Linked DNA regions of Oryctolagus cuniculus. The protein of the gene in region 3 binds, or shares a complex with, the protein of the main gene of each other region. Links are inferred from orthologs where the notes say so. Each region holds a gene or a part of one and is shown on either strand. Other genes may lie near its edges.

Region 1 (3,587 bases), on a different chromosome or scaffold from region 3:
AAGCACTTGTCCATCACGGCGCTTTCTCTCTGCACAGCCCTGGGAGGCACACATGACCCTCACCGCCACTTCTTAAGATACCGGAACCAAAGCACAGAATGCAGAGTCCCTGGCCCAGACGGGTCACTGACAGAGTTCAAAGGGCGCAGTGCAGCAGTCTCACACCTCTGAGGCTACCACAGGCCTCTCGCCAGCTGTCCACAGCCACAAGGAGCCCAGACCAGGAGCCAACAAACCGAGGCCCACATACCAAATCCAGGCTGCCTTGGACTTTCCTGTGTCTCACCTGCACGCACCATGCCCACTGCTCAAGTCGTGCCGTGGCTGTCTCTGAGCCGCAGCAAACGGGCTAAGTGGGGGCTGCAATAGAGACCACAGGGCCCAGGCACTGCTGTCCGGTCCTTCACGGGGACCCCGGATCCCCGGTCAAGGCCTAGATCACGGGCTGCCCAAACAGAGAGGATCAGACCCGGTTCAGAAGTCACACAAACCAAGCAAAATGTCAGCGCTGACTTGCTTGACCCCAGTGTTGTGTCCCTACACAACCATGCCTGCTTGAGATCACATGGACAAAGAGCCTGGTGCAGAGGCCAGCCCCGGGGAAAGACACCACCACCCAGCACTACCATCACAATCACCAACAACCATGGCCAGCATCATCACTAATACCATCAACACCAACAACCCAGCACTACCGCCACCAGCACTAGCACCAACCACCACCATCATCACCACCAACAACCCACACTACCACCATCACACCAACCACTGCCACCATCATCACTACTATCATCACCAACAACCCACACTACCACCATCACTATCACCACCAACCACCACCATCACTACCACCACCAACCACACCAATATCACCAATACCATCGCCAACAACCCATATACTACCTTACCATCACCAACAACTCATACTATCACCATCACCAACCACCACCATCACAACCACCAAAAACCACCACCAATATCACCAATACCATCACCAACAACCCATATAATACCATCAGCATCACCAACAACCTCTGTCACCATCATCACCAATACCATTACCACCAACCACCACCACCACCAATGCCATCACCACTAACCAATACTACTACCACCACCACCATCACCACCAACAACCCACACTGCCATCATCACCATCACTATCCATACCATCACTGCTACCACCACCAGATTCTTTGGATCCCACAGGCCTCTGGGGACCTGGGAAGCAAGGAGGATTTTAGCAGGAAGGGAACCTTGGCTGTCTTTCTCTTTGGACAGGCTCAGAAACAGAGAGCAGGCTGAGAACCGGAGGGTGCAGGGCGCTGTGGGAGCCTCCTGCACTCTTGACCTGTAGGGGGCACCAACAGTCAGCTGGGGCTCACGGGTGACTGGCTAGGATGGAGCTCAGGCCTCTTCTGTCTGGGGAAGGCAGGCAGCATCTATATCTGCCCGTCAATCCACTCCTAGCTGCCTTTCTTTAAAGGCCACCAACTCACCTTGAGGTGACAAAGGCGTGGTCTTTGATGGCCTGCACGACGTCGTCGAACTTGATCTTGGTGGTCCGCGTCCAGCCGTGGTAGATGATGGGCTTCCCGTCGGGCCCGTCCCAGCAGTCCACTGGGGAGAAGGGCAGTGGCCTCAGCCCCACACACGCCCACTGAGAGCAGCTGGAGGCCACCCAGGTGAGGACGGTTCTCCTGCATCCGTGTGGCTACCTGGGACCTACGTCACGTAGTTCCTAGCTTCACTGCCTCAGTTTAAAACAGGTGTCTGAAAGGGGTTTATCTTCTGCTGTCACCTGCCTCACTGTGGCTTGCCTCTCTGCTGGTGCATACGACAAACAGCAAGAGAAACGCATTTGCAAGCATCACTCGAATATTCACACGGGACGAGATCTGGGCTCTGGGTCTCCATCCCCCAGAGGGCAGCAGCAGCTGACGGAGTCACACTTGACTCTGTCGCATTTGCTTTTTCCTGGTGGGGAATTAAAAGTATTAACCCAGAGGTCTGTGAGATAACCGTTCCCTGTGACACCAGAGCCTGAGTCCGTGGTATGTGCCGGCGCCCAGCCGAAGATACCTGCAAGTCCCCAGGGGTAGAGTGAGCCAGGCCAACTGGGAAGAGATGGGAGGACCAGAGGGGAGGAAGGATGCGAGGTCGGCCATCTGTCTCAGAGCCACCCTCACCGTGCAGGTCATGTGGGGCTCCGGGTACTCTAGGAACCACCTGTCCACCCTCAAGGGCACCGAGGCGCTCTCTGAAACCAACCCCGACAGAAGCAGGGTGAGCACCAAAGACAAGAGCACCGTCCTTGGCACTGCCACCCCTACCCCAGGCTCCTGTGACACTGGGACATTTTTCAGGACGCCCCAAACCATGGACCCGTCAGGCTCCAGACACCGCTCCTTGTCTCAGCGACTGTGAGAGGTCCCAGGTCTCATACCATCGACGACTCGACAGGCACCTGCGCCTGCCTCCGCCAGTCCCGCCCACCTCCAGCAGGAAGAAGCCCCACAGCCTCCTGGCCCCACACCCGCCTCCTCCACTCACACTCAATGCAGCGGCAGCCCAGGCGCAGGCAGCGGATGTACGCCTCCGTGGAGGACTCGCTCCGCAGCTGGTCCCCAGTGAGGTACCTGAGGGGGAGAGGCAGGTGGCCATGGTGGGCAGGCAGCCCCGCCCCTAGGCCCGAGCCGCCAAGGTCCTGAAAGATCTTCACAGCTCGAAAGATCCAAGGACGGCCATCACGTGGCCACAGACCTTCAACTCGGGCCACTGGTGCAAGTCGTGCGCAGTAACCACCGGGGCAACACAGACGCACGTGTGCCCCCAGCAGAACCCGGGGCACCAGTGACACGGGGGCAGGTGAAAAGTGAACGCCACCCCCCCCGCAGCTGCCCAGCAGGGCAGAGGTCGGGCACAAAATCGCTGTGCCCCGCCCTCCCCCCCATACCCTACACGCTGGCCTTCATAGGTTATTTCTGCCTCGAGACCTTGGTATGTGGTGCTCTGTTTCCTGAACCGCTCCTCTCTGCCCTATTGCTGGTTCTCTCATCAACTCACAGTCATGGCCACGTCCAAGGTGGCCTTGCCCCTCCAAGCACAGGGAGATGAGGCTGCTCTCCCCTCATGCCCTGTTTCCCTAGCAGGTGGCAGGCACATAGTAGGTAGCCTGTGAATATCAGCCCAACAACTAGGGGAATTGCTTTTCTGTGGCCAGTATGAGAGGCCTCAACTGTGCAAAGCAGCTCTGCCGACTTGCTTGGCAGAGCCGCTGAGAAAGGATTATCATTGCCAGGCCTGCTGGGAAATGGAGCTGCATCCCCCATCCCCGGCCCCTTCCAGAAGGTTCTGTATATTCCAGACTGGGACACATGGTGGCCGTCATGCAACACGCTTTGCCAGAACGGAGAGCCCACGGCGACACTCACGTGTTGTGGGAGGAGGAGATCCAGTAATGAGACAAGGGGTTGTTCATGTCCTGCATGTCCACCACGTCGTACTTCTCGTCCCAGATGCTGTTTTCTCGCGAGAACAGGTACGTGAGGAACTGAAAGAGTCAAACACGGCAGGGATGGGTCTGG
Region 2 (4,049 bases), on a different chromosome or scaffold from region 3:
AACCTTTCCAACACCACACGTCTTCTAGCCACAATCTCTTTATTTGAAACGTCATCTTCACCCGCCTAATCCCAAGCTCAAAACCTTTGTCTCAGAAAACAACGAACTTGGGTTGCCAGTGTATGAGGATACAGTGCCAGGTTGTGGAGAGGCACAGGCTTTGGCACCAGACAGATACAAATTCAACTGAGGACTGTTACCTGCCAGCCACAAAGCCCCCAGCAGGTTACTTTACATATTTGAGCCTCAGCATCTTCATTATTAAGAAAGATGGCTAACAGGTTGTTGCACTAGCATATAGCCTGCTGCTCCGTAAATGGCCAATAAACAAGAGTTGCAGAGTTATCCTTGTAAATATTTATCTCCTACTTCCTACAGTTACTTAAACTAAAAATGAGCCCCTTTTCCTTTTACACAACTCCAAACTTTAGATCAAACCACCGAGGTAGTATTTACATGTATTCCTTTATGTTGTAAATTTCTATGCAAATATCTTACACCCCAACTAGATTTCCAAGTCCTAAAGACCAAAGACGGGATCTTCCCAGCCTTAAGTTAAGCAGAACACTGTGCTTTTCACGAGGCTCTCAACACCTACCTCTGATGTTAAGTCCCAACAATGGGGGGGGGGGGGGGGGGGAAGATCAGTAATGCCTAAACAATATAATTCAACTCTTGAGGATTTCAGGCACACCTCAGAAAATTACTGCCAAAACATGAGTCTTAGTTGTACAGCTCTATCTTTATTTGCTCCTGCATAGTTGCTTAACACATCGCTTCTCGGCCTTGTGGCTAAGACTGCCCACAGCTGCTTAACACATCTCGGCCCACAGCAAATGTTCAGCATTTGTTGAACTGACCGGAGTAATATAAAATTTGCAATGTGTCAAATAAGGCGATTTTCCCCAATCTTCTTTTTCTGCTCTTAACAACTCTTGAAATATTTTTCTTCAAACGCATTAAATACATACCTGTAGTGCAGACCCATACGCAAATCTAACTTGATTCTTTTCCAGATTCTCTCAATTACAATCATCCAACCTTATGTTCTAAACAATCAAGCGCTTCAAATGCCTAAGGATCTACAGTTCGCATATCAATCTTAAAGTTGTGCAACTCATCTCTACAATTTTTTCCAGGGACTTTTAAAATCAGCCACCGTTTGCTTGCTCAAGATCAACACTGCCGAAATAAATTTTCCTTTGCATAAGAGAGCTCACTGAACTTGTCACTTCAGTCTATTTTCCCTAATTCATGATATTACTTCCCTCCCCTGCCGGCGGTGGGAGGAGAGAGAATGACATCAGCACCCAAAAAACTACAGTATAAGTCCTAATAGAAGCACAACACGAGAGGTGCAGAGAGGGCCACGCGCTGCATCAAAGTGACTTCCGTGTATACTTCACACTGCAAACACAGTTGTCAACCGCTCACAGTCATAATCCGTCTTCACTGCATTCCCTTATGGCCATACTAAAAAAAAAATCAAATATAGAAAACCCGTATTTCCCACAAACCTTCCTTCAGTTTAGTACCTCAAAACCTGCTTCCTAGAAGTAACTCCCTACATCATCCTCTTCTCCAGGAAACTCTCAAGTTAGCGAGGCAAACACTTCACGATGTAAGTTTAAGCAAACAAAACTCCTCTGCCCACCTGTGTGAACCCCTGCATTGCAGCAACAGCTGTAACGGTACCGGGAGCCTTTCCGGAGAAATCAAGCGCGGCTTCTCTTTGAAAGTTAAGGAGCATGACAGTTCCAAACAGAAAGGGAAGCAAACTTTGGAAGGAAGGGGACTTAATAACTCTCCCAGCCTCTGCAATCGGTTCGTGCGATAAACCTCTTGACTGAACTCAACGCAACTCTGACTCCCGAGCGCACTTTAAAGAACACCATCATTTTCTGACGTCAGCAAGACGCTAGGCGAAATTATCTGAACTCGCTGTTTTCGTCAGGCAAGTTGTTTTTTGTTTTGAAGTGACTTCCACAACAAGCTTCAACAAGCTTTCAAGCGAGAAAGGAACATGCAAGGCACTGGCGCCACGGGAACCTACGTCTCCCGAACCGATGCCGAGCGCAGTCCAAATCCATCCAGGACAACCCCGAAGTGGGCATGGACGAAAAGCCTTGCAGAAGATCTTCGGCATCTACACCAGCAGCGCCCCACCCTGGGACCGAAGCGGCGGCACCCCTGGGACCCGGGCTAATTCTTGAGCCCGGCGGCAGACCCAAAAGAGGAAAAAGTCAGGCACTGGAGCCCAGGATCGGGTCTAGGGTCCAAGTCTATCGCCCCAAATCAGACACAGAAACTCACACCCGGGAGGCGGCGAGATTTGGGGGAGCAGAAGCGAGGGGGGCGGACGGACAGAGGCCCAGCCCATCCCGATTCCCGAGTCCCAACAGCAACAACAGCTCCGGGAACCCCCCTCCTAGGCTCCGCCCCGCCCACCCCAGGGCCCCGCAACCCGCTTCTTCCCGCCCCCCGCACCCCCGGGCTGGGCTGTGACCGCGGCGGTCGACAACACCCTTTCCCGGACCCCGACAGCCGAGCCCACAGTCCGGAGCCCCGAGTCCCGGAGCGGGCAGCGGGGGCCCCCAGAGCGCTAGCTCCGACGCGGGCTCGCGGCCGCCCCAGTCCCTTCCCGCGGCCACTCACCATCGGCCCCGCTGCTGGCCACGGGCAGGACGCGGGTCGGCGGGAGCGGACTCCCGCACTCCAAACCCGGGAGGAGCCCGTACTCGGACCCGATCGAGCCCCAGCGGCTGTGCCTACAAGGCCTCTCTCCGGCCCGAATCCTAGAAAAGCACTTCCGGGGGAGCGGGGGAGGGAAGGGTTTTGGCACCGGAACTGCTCGCGGGCTGGAGCTGCCAGGGCCTCCTGGGCGGGCCGGGCCGGGGCGGGGCCTCTCCCGCCGGCGCCCGCAAAGCCGCCCCCGGGCCCTGGGCTAACCCTTTCGGCCCCGCGGCTGCTGGGCTCCTGGGGGTGAGGTTGCAGCCTTTACTTTCTCACTGCGCTTAGGGGTGGTTGTGCTCCAGGCCGTAGTTTCGCAGAACGAAAGCTGAGGCTTGGAAAGTTGCGGTGCAAAAGTGCTGCGCACCCACACACCTGGCCCGTCGCCTCGCCAGCGTTCACTCCCACCTGCCTGCCTTACAAACAGAGGTCGTTGGCATCGGTGGGCCGCTTACTACGCGGTGGGCACTGTACCCAGCGGTTCTGGTGCGTGCGCTCCGCCAGCCTCTCGAGGTTGGTGCTATTTACATCTTGGCAGAGGAGGCGAAGATACCAAACCCAATACCACAAATGCTGCCTCTTGGTTTTATTTTAAGTCGCGCTGTGTCTATAACTCTCCTCTAACCCTAACAGGATTTTTAAGCTCTTGAAGGACAGAAACTAAATTATATAGATCTATATCAATTCTGTCGTCGCTTGCCACTGGCAACAAAGGCCAAGAGGTGGGGCAGTCCTGGAGTCTCCCTGCCTGGATCTTACTCGCTTTCAGTTTTCCTCCCTGGCAAGTCCCTTAACCTAACCCTCAGTTGCCTTGTTGTTTATGTATGTATGTATAATCCATCATCCCTGAATTACCGTATCAGATTGATAGTGCATGCAGAACAGTTCAGTATCTGACACGAAGTAAAAGTCAACTGTTCTACCTCACCCGCGATGGGCCATAGAAGGGCTGGTGAAGGAAACAAAGAGTACAAATTTTCACCAGGTAGGCCAGCCTGGATACTTGCGAGGCTCTGAGCCAAGACGGGCTGAGGACCCAGAGTCACGTGACGGGCCAGGAAAGGTGCCCGACTCTGGAAAGACCTCAAATGTCTGAGGGCAGATAAAGGGGCAAGGGTGGAGGGGGGCCTCTTAGCGTGCACACTATCTGCAAAACAAACCCACTGATGTCTCTTCATACAGTGGGGGACGCTTTTCAAAAACTTCCTATGAAGGGCGGGGGCTCTGGTGTAGTGGGCTAAGCCTCTGCCTCCAGCAACGACATCACCATGTGAGTGCCAGTTCCAGTCCCGGGGGCTCCACTTCCTAACCAGCTGCCT
Region 3 (3,587 bases):
GCTCGCTCCCTCGGAAACAGTGGGCCGGAGGGGGTAGGTGCGGGGAGAGCGTGAGGGCGGGGCTTTGCTACCAACCTGAGACGTTGACGGAGAAGTAGGTGGTGTCGCTGCCCGAGGGGCTGCTGGTCACGCATGCGTAGAGGCCGGAGTCGGCGGGCACGGAGTCCCGCACCTCCACCTCCTCGCCCGTGATGCGCGTGCGGTTGCTTTCTGCCAGCTGCACCCCGTCCCGCAGCCAGTTGATGCTCTGCACATCGTCCCGCAGCCGACAGCGAAGCTGCAGCAGGTCACCCGGGTGGACCAGCAAGGACTCCACTTCCACAGGGGCTCCCCAGGGCTGGGCTGCAGCCACCCCAGGGACGGGCAGAGGAGGCAGTGGCGGGCGAGGGAGGAGGGAGAGACAAAGGGGGAGTTACGCTGGCCACCACCGGGCCTCACTTCCTCGAACTGGCGTTGGGGCTGGGAATACGGGTCAGTGGGAAGACAGCTGGCGGCCTGGGACCCCTGGCTCCTCTCCCCCACCCCGCTCCTCCAAAAGTCAAAGGAAGAAAAGAGGCAAAGTTAGGAAGCAGCTGCAGCAGCGTTAAGCGGATCACACTGCGTTTCCCGCCATCCTAAGGGAGAGGCCGCCCTCCCCAGGCCTCCTCTGTGGCCAGATGCTGCCCCGCACACGCCCAGTTCTTTGCCAGGAGTGGCCACTGCCCCCACAGGGACACCCCTTCCCCTAACAACAGTTGGACAAGCCCTGCCCCTCCGAAATCCAGCAGCCCCCACCCCTGTCTGTCACGGGGGGGGGGGGGGGGGGCCGCAGTTCCCGTGGTTCAGTGTGTGTGGGGGTCTGGCCTCCAAGGAGGCAGAGGCGAGGTCAGCTCAGGGGAGCCTCTCTCTGACAGGTGCTGGGCCAGAGGATTTGGAGCCTTTGCCTATATAAGGAAGGGAGGCCCGCAGCTGCCCCAAACCCACACTTGCTCTGGCAGCAGACGCTGCTGCACACAAAGCTCCTTTCTCCTCGGCCCACCGCCCAGCTCGCCCTGTGTGTCCCCACCTTCCTCTGTCCCCAGCGCTGTCTCAGCCACTCGACTTTGCCTGTCCCCTGCACCGGACCCACCCAGGGTGTCCAGAACTCACATGATCCCATGCTACCCAGAGCACCCAACCCTCTCCTGACCCTCCGGCCACAGCACCTCTTCCATCCTGGCCTGTACGCTCCTTTGCACCAAAGAGGGGGAATGGGGGTCCTGCTTCCTGTAAGGACTGTGCAGAGGTATCCCTGGCCTCTTCTTGCACCAAAAGAACGCACACAGTTGGTGTCTGTCACCCACCGCCTGACTAAGATCGCAGCCTCTTCCATCAGGCCGATTCCGCACTCCTGCTGAGCCTAAGCCGCTCCCAGAAAATGCCCTGCAGGCCCCTGGCCCTGAGGCTCTGACTCAGAACACACGTGCCCTCTCTCCCTCAGCCCTGCTTCACCTGCGGCTACCCCCACCCACCACCCCACCCCGCAGGGGCCCCTGTGTGTCTCTTTGCCTGGCTCTGGCTGGCGACTCCTCCAGGAAGCCACCTGCAATGCCCGCCTGGTGGGACTGTGGGATGAGAGTCGCATTTACCTTTGAATCTGTAGCACTTGGTCTGCCACTCAGCACCCAGGATCTCAGCCCCTGCTGGGGCAGCTGCACGCCCCTTCACTGTGCCCCTTTCTGCGCTCCCATTTCTCCTGCACCTCTCATTTTGGGGGTGCTCAAAAGGTTTCTGCTAAACACCCTATAAATGGAAAAGGGGTCCCCTGGCACCGGACAACACCAGGGACCCACAGGGGTTTGCTCCAATGGGTCCTTGGGACCACGACGAACAGGTAAGGCTGGGTGGCCTGGGCTGCAGTCCCTGGCCCGTGTCAGCCCAATACTGGGTCATTGAAAACTGGGTGCTGCATTATGAGGGGTTCTGGAACCACAAGGCCAGCATGTGGTTTATTCCTGTGAGTCCAGTCAAGGGGACACCGCAGAAGTGAGTGGGTTAAAAATGAGCCTTTGTGGGCCTCAGAAAAACCGACCCTTCCCAGTTTTAATGGACTGTGGTTTTGCCAAATGAAAGTGTTAGACAATCCGTTTGGACTTGACCCTTAAGGAAAACTGCAGACACTCCTATTGATCAAATCTCGCTCCCCTCAAATGACCTCACTGATTAAATATTTTGCAGTGCATGACTTGTACCGGCCGCTGGTCAATAGCAAACTCAAATTCTTCGCCTCTGGCATCACACAGCCTGTTTCCACAGGTCCGGGAGACAAAAAGGAACTCCAAAGACAAAATGCAGCAAGGAGCAGAATCAGGCATCCCCCCCACCCCCATCAAGAGGAGGCGGCAGAGACCTGGCCCAGCTGGCGCCATCCCAACCAGACGTGCAAACCAAACTCTTGTACAGGATCTATAAAAAGCCTCCAGGGCCAACTCTTTTCCTGGATTCGTCTCCTAACATGTCTCAGTCTGCTCTATCCTCTCCTTCCTTGCACCTCACCTCTGGAGAACCTCCAATGCCTGGGGTCAAGACCCCCAACCCCACCTTGCTCTCAAGTCTGTATGTACTGTATTCTCCTGATCAAGATCCCCACACTGAGTGCTGGCATTGTGGGTAAATTGCCATCTGCAATGCCAACATCCCATATTGGCACTGGTTCGAGTCCCTGGCTGCTCCACTTCCGATCCAGCTCCGTGCTAATGGCCTAGGAAAAGCTGTGGAAGATGGCCCGAGCATTTGGGCCCCTGCCACCCATGCGGGAGACCTGGAAGAAGCTCTTGGTTCTGGCCTGGTCCATTGCTGGCTGTTGGTGACCATCTGGGGGACTGAGCCAGTGGAAGGAAGATCTCTCTCTCTCTTTATCTCTCCCTAACTCTGACTTTCAAAAATAAATTAAAAAATCTTTTAAAAAATTCCTACACTGTTTATGGGATGAATAAACCCAACACCCTTGCTTTGCCTTCAGTCAAGGCTCCCTAAATCTGACCCCACCCTCTGCAGCCAGTTGCCTTGTTTTCCATGGCTGCCTGTTCTGAGCCCTGACACAACAAAGCTTACCCTGCCGAGGACTGTCTCAGCAGGTCCTCCATCAGAAATGCCCTGGAAGGGACAGGTGCGTGGCCCAGCAGAACACTGGTTGGGACACTTGTGCCTGGTTATAGTCCTGGTGCTGCTCCTGATTCCAACTTCCAGGCATCCTGGGAGGTGGCAGCTGATGACTCAAGTAGTTGGGTCCCTGCCATCTACAAGGGAGACTATTCCTGGTCCCTGGTCCCCAGTTTTGACCTGACCCAGCCCTGGCTGGTGTGGGCATTTGGGGAGTGAACCAGTGGATGACTCTTTCTGTTTCTGGCTCTCAAGTAAATAAATTGACTGACTAATAATTTTTACAATGTCCAGGAAGTCTTCTGTTTACACTGGCATCTCTCCCTAATTTTCTGAAGAACACTTACTGTCTGCACTATATAAATTTATACCCAATTACACACCATTTTATATTGTTTCTTTCTCTTAACATCAGAGAGATAATTCACACACTGTAAAGTTCACCTATTTAAAGGGTATATCTCAAC

Evidence for each region.
Region 1: the proteins of FGFR1 (region 3) and PLCG2 are in contact, whole or in part, in a cryo-EM structure (PDB 8JQI), measured with the Homo sapiens proteins. The link is inferred for Oryctolagus cuniculus from reciprocal best matches to the Homo sapiens genes FGFR1 and PLCG2. Residues at the interface, in NP_075598.2 of Homo sapiens: Lys504, Asn506, His541, Lys542, Lys598, Ser602, Tyr605, Gln606, Arg609, Glu612, Tyr613, Ser616, Lys617, Lys748, Asp755, Arg756, Val758, Ser762, Gln764, Glu765, Tyr766, Leu767, Asp768, Leu769; in NP_001412678.1 of Homo sapiens: Phe528, Arg540, Thr568, Phe569, Pro570, Asn571, Phe577, His585, Cys586, Arg587, Arg589, Ser590, Thr591, Met592, Gly595, Leu601, Thr602, Asn604, Leu622, Arg623, Cys624, Ala625, Glu626, Phe627, Glu738.
Region 2: the proteins of FGFR1 (region 3) and FRS2 are in contact, whole or in part, in an NMR structure (PDB 1XR0), measured with the Homo sapiens proteins. The link is inferred for Oryctolagus cuniculus from reciprocal best matches to the Homo sapiens genes FGFR1 and FRS2. Residues at the interface, in NP_075598.2 of Homo sapiens: His409, Ser410, Gln411, Met412, Ala413, Val414, His415, Lys416, Leu417, Ala418, Lys419, Ser420, Ile421, Pro422, Leu423, Arg424, Arg425, Gln426, Val427, Thr428, Val429, Ser430; in NP_001036020.1 of Homo sapiens: Asn25, Val26, Asp27, Asp28, Leu33, Leu47, Thr49, Arg50, Asp53, Ser54, Val55, Trp57, Leu60, Cys61, Leu62, Arg63, Arg64, Tyr65, Gly66, Tyr67, Asp68, Ser69, Leu71, Ser73, Phe74, Gln81, Thr82, Ile86, Phe87, Ala88.

Annotation. Positions count from the first base shown.
Region 1 is NC_091449.1:63,935,214-63,938,800, reverse strand, and holds part of PLCG2 (1-phosphatidylinositol 4,5-bisphosphate phosphodiesterase gamma-2), read right to left. Parts: intron 3,554-3,587; coding exon 3,435-3,553; intron 2,640-3,434; coding exon 2,554-2,639; intron 1,621-2,553; coding exon 1,500-1,620; intron 1-1,499. UniProt on the Homo sapiens protein: The production of the second messenger molecules diacylglycerol (DAG) and inositol 1,4,5-trisphosphate (IP3) is mediated by activated phosphatidylinositol-specific phospholipase C enzymes. It is a crucial enzyme in transmembrane signaling.
Region 2 is NC_091442.1:72,013,133-72,017,181, reverse strand, and holds the start of FRS2 (fibroblast growth factor receptor substrate 2), read right to left. Parts: upstream 2,820-4,049; 5' UTR 2,656-2,819; intron 2,416-2,655; exon of another isoform or gene 1,655-2,415; intron 995-1,654; exon of another isoform or gene 972-994; intron 1-971. UniProt on the Homo sapiens protein: Adapter protein that links activated FGR and NGF receptors to downstream signaling pathways.
Region 3 is NC_091433.1:88,167,627-88,171,213, forward strand, and holds part of FGFR1 (fibroblast growth factor receptor 1), read right to left. Parts: intron 343-3,587; coding exon 76-342; intron 1-75. UniProt on the Homo sapiens protein: Tyrosine-protein kinase that acts as a cell-surface receptor for fibroblast growth factors and plays an essential role in the regulation of embryonic development, cell proliferation, differentiation and migration.